Daphnia pulex: one gene and its partners. The protein of the gene in region 2 purifies or fractionates together with the protein of the main gene of each other region. This does not show direct contact. Links are inferred from orthologs where the notes say so. Each region holds a gene or a part of one and is shown on either strand. Other genes may lie near its edges.

Evidence for each region.
Region 1: the proteins of sodium-coupled neutral amino acid transporter 9-like (region 2) and ragulator complex protein LAMTOR3-like purify together in Homo sapiens (affinity purification with mass spectrometry; 3 studies listed by BioGRID and IntAct, with this or other methods). This does not show direct contact. The link is inferred for Daphnia pulex from reciprocal best matches to the Homo sapiens genes SLC38A9 and LAMTOR3.
Region 3: the proteins of sodium-coupled neutral amino acid transporter 9-like (region 2) and ragulator complex protein LAMTOR5 homolog purify together in Homo sapiens (co-immunoprecipitation; 5 studies listed by BioGRID and IntAct, with this or other methods). This does not show direct contact. The link is inferred for Daphnia pulex from reciprocal best matches to the Homo sapiens genes SLC38A9 and LAMTOR5.

The regions. Positions count from the first base shown.
Region 1 is NC_060018.1:11,755,946-11,758,972, forward strand, and holds ragulator complex protein LAMTOR3-like, read right to left. Parts: upstream 1,775-3,027; 5' UTR 1,677-1,774; coding exon 1,671-1,676; intron 1,582-1,670; coding exon 1,547-1,581; intron 1,450-1,546; coding exon 1,391-1,449; intron 1,327-1,390; coding exon 1,263-1,326; intron 1,176-1,262; coding exon 1,103-1,175; intron 1,034-1,102; coding exon 899-1,033; 3' UTR 614-898; downstream 1-613. Other genes in the region: glutathione hydrolase 7-like, read left to right, coding at 2,259-2,423, 2,510-2,661, 2,742-3,027. UniProt on the Homo sapiens protein: As part of the Ragulator complex it is involved in amino acid sensing and activation of mTORC1, a signaling complex promoting cell growth in response to growth factors, energy levels, and amino acids.
Region 2 is NC_060019.1:7,949,973-7,954,186, forward strand, and holds sodium-coupled neutral amino acid transporter 9-like, read right to left. Parts: upstream 2,943-4,214; 5' UTR 2,801-2,942; coding exon 2,718-2,800; intron 2,644-2,717; coding exon 2,424-2,643; intron 2,312-2,423; coding exon 2,217-2,311; intron 2,131-2,216; coding exon 1,973-2,130; intron 1,912-1,972; coding exon 1,744-1,911; intron 1,660-1,743; coding exon 1,591-1,659; intron 1,525-1,590; coding exon 1,121-1,524; intron 1,054-1,120; coding exon 949-1,053; intron 879-948; coding exon 640-878; intron 565-639; coding exon 387-564; 3' UTR 328-386; downstream 1-327. Other genes in the region: dynein axonemal intermediate chain 3-like, read left to right, coding at 1-59, 115-309.
Region 3 is NC_060023.1:5,836,332-5,839,094, reverse strand, and holds ragulator complex protein LAMTOR5 homolog, read right to left. Parts: upstream 1,253-2,763; 5' UTR 1,072-1,252; coding exon 1,037-1,071; intron 973-1,036; coding exon 911-972; intron 840-910; coding exon 725-839; intron 648-724; coding exon 587-647; 3' UTR 575-586; downstream 1-574. Other genes in the region: trichoplein keratin filament-binding protein-like, read right to left, coding at 2,048-2,341, 2,414-2,519, 2,592-2,763. UniProt on the Homo sapiens protein: As part of the Ragulator complex it is involved in amino acid sensing and activation of mTORC1, a signaling complex promoting cell growth in response to growth factors, energy levels, and amino acids.

The DNA of each region.
Region 1 (3,027 bases), on a different chromosome or scaffold from region 2:
ACGGGGACGTCATCCGGGTGGGTTTCGTTCCCATAATTACGTACCGACGAAAAGAGCAGGTGAACGACGGGCGAATGGCGAAACAGAAACAAACAAAAATCCTTAACACAACTCAAAAAAGGAAAACAAATGGGGGGGAAACACACATCAGAGGTCGGTGAGCTGTCCGAAAGGACTAAAACAAAAAAAAATTAAAGCCAAGCCACCCGGACGTCTTGGTGCCACCGGGAGTAGATAACCTACTGCGGCGAACTGGGAAAACGCCCCGGCGCAAGCGCAGCATAACTCTCTCGCGTCTTTCCCCCTTTTGCATCCATCGTCCCGTGAGCTGCGTGTGCAGGACCCCCACTAATGGAGAGAGAGAGCAGCCAGCTTTTCCACGTCGTGCAGCCCGGCCCCTATATACAAAGAACGATCAATAATAAAAACCCCAGGTCGCTTTTGTGCGGCCGTCAAGAAGAGGAACGCACTCGTCGTACGACTATCTGACACTTGTGGCGTCTTCTTCACAACTATTTGTTGGCCACCACCTGGAAAATAAGACGAGCCAAATGTATATCGACCCGATGCACAGAAAAGGTTCCCTCATCACAGCGGGGCATCGAACAGGAAATAATGCTTTCTCAAGTGTAATCCAAGACGTTCATTTGTCTGGCCAATGTGGGATCGCATGACCGAAATAAAGCGCCACACTACGGCATATGTAATAATGACATTCGATCTAACACAAGGTCAAGTGATACGCCCTCTAAATGGATATTGTTGGAACGAAACTGGAAAAACACAAAAATTGATTGGAAGAATAAACATGGTTTTTTTTACGGATGAAAACAATTTCCCATGATTTTCAAGATATGATGAAAATTGTAACATGAATTGAAATGATTTTTTTTTTGTTTCATTCAACAACTGAAGAAGCTAGATCATTAACAACAACTAAAAGGTCATTTTCCAAATTGACCAGTTGTCCAGTGTTTGCTGTCTTGCTGGCAATCAGACTTATTGTCAGCGGACTCTTGTTCATTTGAATCACCTAGTACAATCAGGAGAAAAAGGTTTCACAACACTTTCTTAAATAGTCTGTAATTGAAAATTGTTATACCTGATAATTTGAATAGATAGAAATGATTTTGTTATTTTTTCCAACTCCAAGCTTTCCAGCTTGATCTGTTGCCCTGTGGAAATCACAAATGAAAAATTATGTTGACTTGTTGTGTGGATACGATTACGTAGCTAATTGATTTCTACAAACAAGCCCTTACATAGCTGAAAAGGTGGAAAGGTAACTTGGTCTAAGGGCCATCTCGGGTGCAGAATCAAGGGCCACTGTAAAGATAAAAACAAATCGGGAAATGAATTTGAGATCACAATATACTGAATATTTACAAACCTTTGACTAGAGGCACACCATCTCGGTCAGTTATAATAATTGCCAAAAGACCGTCCACTCTGAAAATAGGGCAGTACAAAAGATAAACATAGTTTATAAACCTATCAAGACTTTTCTTATATAATCAATGGTAGAGTTTAGCCATGTTTAACTTACCGCTGTAAAATGCACGCAACATATTTTCGCAATTCCTGCCGAAAGAAAACAGAAACAGTTTTTTAAAGAAAGATTTAAGAAAAACATCGTTAACTGACAAATAAATTACGCCCACAAACATTACCTCCATTAGTCAAGTCTGTGACTTTTTTATGAATCACAGTTCACAACATCAATAGCAGATTAGCAGAAGAAGTCAGCAAGTGTCAGCAAATATTTATTAACAAAAGCGCCATCTAAAAGTCGGAAAATCAGTAAATTAATGTTTCCATATGTCACCACTAGATGAGTTTGTTGTGATCATTTACTCTTAAGCCACGTAACATCTGATGTACTTAAAATGATACATTATTAATTATAATGAAGTGTATTATTTTATCGCGTGTAATCGAATGTTTACAATTGATATTTCATGAACTGCACTTCGTGATTCATTTATCGCGCGTAATTTGCAAATTTCCGCGACATCTAGCGAATTGTTTGATAGCTTATAATCAAAACAAAACATAGGAGGGTCTTGTTTTGACAGGGCGATCCCGCCTACACGTTTTTTTTTATTATTATTATTATTTTTCCGCTTCCCCGTCATAAAACTTTCTCCAACTATATATAGTCGTGATTGGTTTACTCAAGATATCTGACAGCCTTAGAATTCGTCGCTGTGATGTTTTAATTCCTACAAACTGCAATTAATCAAATACTATTTAATATCATGGAAACCATTCCACTCTCTCCAACCCACAAAAAAGCAAGATTTGGGAACTGTTGTTCTGGCCAACAAAATGATGGGCTAAGAGTGATTATCTTTTGCTTTGGAGTTCTATGCATCTGTGTCACAATTGCATTAGTTATAAGCATCTATCTAGGAGATCCTGAGGTGTGTATCCATTTTTCTACTCAATGACAACATTTATACATTCCTGCTATCTACACAACAAATTAATATTGAAATTTCACATTTAGATACTGCCACGAGGTGCAGTTGCAACAGACAGCCAGCAATGCTCTCAAATCGGTGTTGATACCCTTCAAAAAGGGGGTAATGCAATCGATGCAGCAGTTGCAGCAATGTTCTGCATGTGTGTTGTCAATCCTCACATCACTTCACTTGGAGGGTGAGATCAATATTTTGAAATGCAATGCTTGTCATCCCTGCATCCTCTTTCAAAATCTATTTTAAAATTAATGTTGACAGTGGTGGAGCTATGATTATACTCAACCACCTGACTTCAAAGCCACCAATGGTCATCAACTTTCAAGACGCAGCCCCCGGACCAGTGAATGCGTCTTTGATCGTCAACGGCCAAGGACCCTTGGCTGTGGGAATCCCCGGTCTTTTGAGTGGCCTGTGGGAGAGTCACAAGAAATTTGGCAAACTGAAGTGGGCGGATCTTTTACAACCCTCCATCCAGTTGAGTAATCTCGGGATTAACGTGTCATCTCAGCTAGCTGGGGCGGTGCAAGGAATTCCGAGTGATTCT
Region 2 (4,214 bases):
CGGGCAAAATTACCTTACTGCCTTTTTTCACCAAAAGTTTGTGTCCAGGAGTCAGAGAGGTAAAATTTAATTAATTTAAAAACAAATCTGTGACTGTTCTACTTTTTAAATTAGCTCACAAGAGTTGAGAAATTTATGGATAGTGAAGTACATCACCGTTTGTCCATGGCCCAAATGTTGCAACCCGCCCCAGTTGCCCCACAGCTCCACCTGCCTGAATCCCCATTAATCTACAGCAATCGCGAGGCGTACATGGAAGATTTCAAGATTCTCGAGAAAAAGATTCTCAAAGATGTCGGTGATGTTTGAAAGAGAACGTGAAAAATAAACGATACGAGAACGTTATATATTGAAATCGGAACCGACCTGTCTAAGCGTAGCGGCCATCAATTGGTGACGACAAATTGGGCAATTAAATTTAGTAGACCACACAACATAATAAAACCGTGCACAATATACACCCATGCCGGAGCTCGGCCGTTATTCTGCTTCCTGTAAGACACGACGTACAATATACTGGGTAGTGTGAAGACGTAGACCAAACCACACAAAGCGCCGGAGAATCTGGATGAGTAAATATAAACGACCAATTAGCACGGCGATGGGAAACCCGGTTATCAATTCATTCGACTTGCGTACCTTGTTATGGTGCCGACCTGCGGCAAGAAGATGGCGAATACAACGCAGACGGACAGCAATATCACGTTGAGAGAAAATACGTGGTTAAAGCTGGGATAAATGGAATTAAAGAAAGCGTACAGAATCTGCGTTCTCAGGATGTAAGCGAGTAACGGAAAGACCGTCATCATTTGAAAGAGCAAAAAGACGCGAGCTATAACGGTTAGCGTATCCGAACGCGAAAAATTGTTCAACAAATTCTAGAAAGCCCAAAAGAAAAAAATTAAATTAATTCCTCGAAATCTTAATGAACGAATCATTTTCAATTACGTCTTCGATGCAATCCTTCTCGAGGGGAAATGTGAGGTAGAAAGTTGCTCCGATACCTAAATAAGTCAGCGCTACCAGGGTGTAGGCGATACTCAAATCACGGCCCTAAAACACAAAAGAAAAATTTTATTCAATGTAAGGCCAAAATGAGAAAGAGAAATGTAAAAATTACGTTGCACTCTTGGCGCCGATTGTTCTTCATGATGCTCACGACGCAATTGTGCAAGTACAGCGCCAAGGACAACATGCCCGACAAAGCCGGAAAGTTGGAGCGCAACAAAGGCACGTAGAAGGGTGAAGTAGTGTCGCTAAATTCGACGTGCACTCCCCATTGGGACGCTTTGGTGACAACGAATGCCATGATGTAGAATACCGAGACTGTGCCCAGTGCATTAAACTTGGTGAAAAAGGTGGCTGACTTTAGGCAGATTAGGGGCAGCAATAGGAGAGCCATGTAAATAGGAACAGTCAGATCCAAATTCCAAATTTTGTCAAAGGTAGAAGCTCCATTCTGGAATATCGGTCCATTCAGGAGTGACGAGAAAGTCAGATTATCGATCGGATCCGGACAAAACACTGTTAAATGTAAAAAAAAAAAAATGTAAATAAAAGAACAAATAAACATAACCTATTGAAACTCACGATTAAACGCCGAAGTATTGTCATCGTCCACGGACAACAGGGTAACAGACGTCGTCGTCGTAATCAGATCTGTTTGATTAAACAAATGATATATTTTTGAAGATTTTTTCGACCGTTCAAAATTTTAGATCGTATAAAATTGAAGTTCTTTACCATACACGTATTTGACCGTATGATAGAGGAAGTTGGACATGAGAACCCAGTACACCGCACTTGCCCCAAGTAATGAAAGTGCCGAAAAGAGAACGGAAACCCATTGACCGACACGCCCCAGCAGGAACATGCAGAGATCTGGAAAGTCCGCAAGATTTTCCTTCTCACCTGCAATAAAAACCAAACTGAATTACGTCATTCAAAGATACCATGACCGAAAGTAATATACCGTAGATGCCGTAAACTTGAAGGATACAAAAGGCAGTGTAAAAGCAGATGGCTGCCATGACAAGGATCAGTGACAATCCAGCTACCAGTCCTGCTTGCTCAACAGCCCATGGCATTGAGAGTAACGACGTACCCATCATTGTGTTCCAAACTGCAAATCTACAAAAATTTAAAAAAAGAATTGAATGTTGATTACAAGCTTTATCTTGTATAAAAAAATAAAAGTTGGAAAATGATTTAGTTACATAGTTATTAAACTGCTTTGTTTGCCAGTTAAAGGAACTGTGCCAGGAATGTATGGGTAGAAAAAGATGGATGGCACAACATGATCAGGTATCAACTAAACAAAATAATTTTGACAACCATCAAAGGAATTATCCTAAAACCAACTAGATACTACCATGAGACAGCAACTCTTATTTGTCTCATGTAAAAAGACCTAATGTTTGTACCAATGCTTGATCATTTCCAATGGTGGGTCCTCTTAATCTCTGGTAGTATTTATAGCGTGAGTAAGTAGCTTCCTGAGCATTATCGTATGGTACAGCATCAATCAAGACAGGGGATTCAGCACGATTTGCTGCAATGGTACTCTGTAAGTGGAATGGACGTCTCGTTCGTTGTTTTGAATTGGCATCCCGAACTCGTATTCCTCTTAACGTTGGCGAAGATCTGGTGGTTAAAACACAAGCAATTGCCAATTAGCCGACATTTGATTATATGCAACGAGAAATTCATTTTATTACCTGCCAAGATCTGATGATGAATCTAGTGTCACCTCACTAGCTACGTCTGAATCTGGTAATATGACGTCCACATCTCTGTTCATTGTTTAAATTAATTATAGAACTAATTCTGATAACTTCGTTGCCAACCGATGGGTCGGGTAAGTAAACAAAGACTAGTTTGAAGGAACTTGTTTTCGTGAGACCCATAGAACTTTGACAAGCAAGCAGACGGATGTCTACAAAACATGTGAAGCCTTCTGAAGCCTTATCGCACCGGCTAGTCCGTTGGAATGCAACAATACAAAACAATTCTCAAAATCTTTTCTTTGTTAAACCTAGACATAATTTTATCGTATTTTATATTTTAATTTGACCTCCAAAAAAGTTGTCAACAAAATTTCTGTGTTGTTTTTTGGGTGTATTTTTAAAAAAGGTTTTTAAAAAAAGACGTACTAGTAGTTAGTAGGTCAATGACCGAGCGCAAAGTGACAGAACTATGGGGCGGATTAAAATTTCATCTCGTTTTCTTATATGTTATTGGAATTTGTTGCATACAACATGCATTTCATCAGCTTTCAATATAATGCCAGACTCTCGATTTCTTGCGTCACGTGCCGTGATTAACTTGCTTTAGTCAGAAAACAAATGATCCGTCTTAGAACAGATGTTGATATGATAATGGAAAGTGCGCCATTAACAGTATATGGGGCTCTTCGGGATCTGTTTTATTTAGCCGATTTATCTGGCAACGCAGCATGGCGCCAGTCTTTTTTGAGGGAAGAACGGGGAGAAGAGGGAGAATGGGACGAGTGGGAGGGAGGAGGGCGTCCTCCCATTCTCCCTCTTCTCCCCGTTCTTCCCTCAAAAAAGACTGGCGCCATGCTGCGTTGCCAGATAAATCGGCTAAATAAAACAGATCCCGAAGAGCCCCATAGGCCTCATTATCATCTTTTTAATACAAATACGGTCACATGCAGTTAATCGTGGTGAATCATATATTTAGTATTAAATAAGTTAACAAGCAATGATTCAAGTAAAAGCGTCTACTGAACAAACAAGAATGGGGATACATTTTTTTAAAATGTGGTAATAATGTTGGCCAAATCGATACTTTTAATCTTATCATTATCTATTATCTAAAAAAGATATTTTGCGTAAGGGTTGTTTCCTGCTCTCCGTTAGATTTTCGGACCGTCCAATCACGACAACCTCCACGGCAATTGCAGCAAAATTGGTCACAATCACTGGAGCCACAACAAGGATCCCCCGGAGTTTCATCCCAACAGTTGCCGCTGGATTGCGGTTCGCAACAATCAATGGCCTCAACCGGATACGACACCATCCACAGAGTAATCAAAAGAATGAAAATGCATAGTGAAGACACCATTGTCTCAGTTAAATCTGTCAGTTAGCAAAATAATAATTTTCTTATTTTAAATTAAGTTCAACTAATACTACATAAATTTTAATAATTTTGACTATTTAAATATAAAAATGCAATTTACGGTTATGCAG
Region 3 (2,763 bases), on a different chromosome or scaffold from region 2:
AGACTATTTCCCAGACAGGCGGAGTTCGGTCAGGCAATAATTAATCGTCTTGCGATTCTGCATTGGATATCTATTCTTTATTTCTCAACTCCCTTTCCAGATTCCTGAAAATGAACTATACGGATAAGGATCCCCCCCATAGGCTGGGATAACCGCGGATCGTTTATTTTTAAAAAACCTTGAAAAAAAAAAAAAAAAAGGCAATCTGTAAAAAAAAGCTACAGGTAATTAGGTATAGCGCAGTTAAAAATTTCTGCTGTTTACGACGTATACGCTCATGAAAATTTCTAGAATTTCTGATATGTACACAATGATATATTTTCACTTTTTCTTCCCATTGCATTAGGAAATTACTATTTGTAACACAAAATAGGCCCACATCTTTTAAAAAATAAACAGAAACAAACGAAATCGAGCACACCACTGCAGCTAAAGCACAAATTTTGAACCGAAGGCGTATACCAAAGGTTCTTATTTATTTTTTTTATCATGTGGCTTAAAGTTTGAATGCTAAGAAAAATAAAGAATATATGAGAACCTATTTGTATATCTACACAAAAACTTAGATTTCTCAGATTTTTTGCATTTATGTATTGGTTTTGTAGACGGCAAGAGTCATTCCCATATTCTGATGAATCAAACACTGACTGCAGAAACAGAAAAAGTTAAAAATAAATCAGCACTTAGAAAATAAAAATAACATAGAAAGACATTGTTACCATACCTTTCATGGTTTTCAAACAAAATGACAGGATCTCCTTTCCCAGGCTCTAATGTTGTTGCCAAATGTGACAGAGAAGTCAATGAGCCGGAGTAGTTTGAATTGGCAACACCTTGTGCTATATTATAAACAATGTGTTCATATTTATAAAAAAACAATTGTGTTTCAAAAAAGAAGCTTTTGTCTTACACGTTAAGCACATGCCCTGTCTGTCTGCACACAATACGCCCACTACTCCAGGCGAAGTCATCCTAAATCGACACAATTTTATGTTCCAATCGGTTTTTTAAATGTAACGATTTCTGATTTACTTACAATTCTTCAACACATTTTTGAACTTCTTTATCCATAATAGCAATGGTATTTTGTATAAACAGGAACTAACTGAAGGATATCAGAAACAGAAACCGACAGGCTAACAAAATCTTGTTGATTTATTTTGCTAGCACCTATTAACCATCTACAGTCTGCCACAGTAGAAAAGGAAGTGGAACTTGGGAAGCCTGTCAGAGACAGAGAGTCAAAACAATGTAGTCAAACTGACTCACCTCAAGGCCTGTCAACTGCAGCTGTTTATTGCAATTTCTGTTATTTCATTGTAAAACATTAGATTTGGATTTTTTAAAACGTAGAAAAAAAAACAATAATGTGAAAAGAAATTTAGTAGTATCTTATTAATTTATTATAACATTACTTTTTTTAGTTTTTTATTTTGGCCAGAATTTGGATGGTAGCGCTAGGTGGCAGGATTTAGCAGCTCGAATGATTTGGCATGGATGATTTGGTAAGACTTCTGAGGGTAGCGCGCAGCGCGTTAATAATTGATAGCAAACAGAGAAAAATTGGGATTCAGATTTAATTTGCTTTGGGAGACAAACCAGGGTAAAACATATCGCGATGTTGTGATACCGATACGGATTCACAAGGGAAAATTCCACTGTTTCTCCTTTGCAATGCGCGTTCCACGTTTACTGAACAAAAGCAGGAAGTATATCCATGTTATTTTGTAGAAATCTAATAATAGCTTCAATTATTTTTCATGAACAAATTTTTCTCTACTGTAATCCGCTACTTTCATCCAAATATAGCACTGATCGGGAGCAGAGGAATTCACGATTTAGACACTGACAATAAGAAATAAACTGGCATTCTGCGATCGCTCCATATATTTCCTGAAATACGAAAAAGTACGAAAAATAGCTGTGATAGAATGACATAAGCTGTAACTTAAAAATACACATTTTGTAAACATTTAAAAATTACGAGAAAATTAGAGCCGAGATATGAATCATTTTGATGACAAGAAATGTGCGTCAACTTTACGCTTTAAAGTCTCAATTTGTCCATGGCTATATTCCAATGTTTTTCGTTGTGAGCAGCTTCCATGAGCTCTTGGTGTTTGCGCTTCTGCCGTTCCAGATGATTAAACTCTTCTTCTCTTTGCTGTTTGTGATCAATTTGAGCCTGAAGATCTACTTTCGTTTGAAACTGTTTAGCTTTATTTTCCATTTCTTTCTTCTTTGCTTGATTATGATAGCTCTCGAGTGAATGAACCAGCTCTTCTCGATCGCGCAGCAGTTGCTGTCTTTCTTGTCGTGCAGCGATTATTTTTTGGTCAATCTAAATAAGCAACAAGAACCATGATGAAAAATTACATCTTAACCGTTTTCAAAATAACTGTTAAAGACTTACCTGCTTCTCCTGAATGGCTATCACCTCTTCAATTAATTTTTTTCGAGCCAACCTTTCGGCTTCCCACTCTAATTCCCGTTTTTCCCACATTCGCTTAGCCTCCTCCCTGTGAAGGCAGATATTCGACATATTATTTTACAAATGAACTTAAAATAATCCAAAAAGAATAATCAATTACTGGAATAAAAACTCGCTCTGCTGCAGGCGTTCTTTTTCGATTCGACGATGGTTTTCAACGAGTTGTAAAAATCGTTGAATGTCTTGACGTGTTTTTTCTTTTTCTAAAGCAGAATCACTTTCATTTGGGAAAAGTTTCTCGGCAAAGCTCATTTCTTTTTCCAAATCAGCGG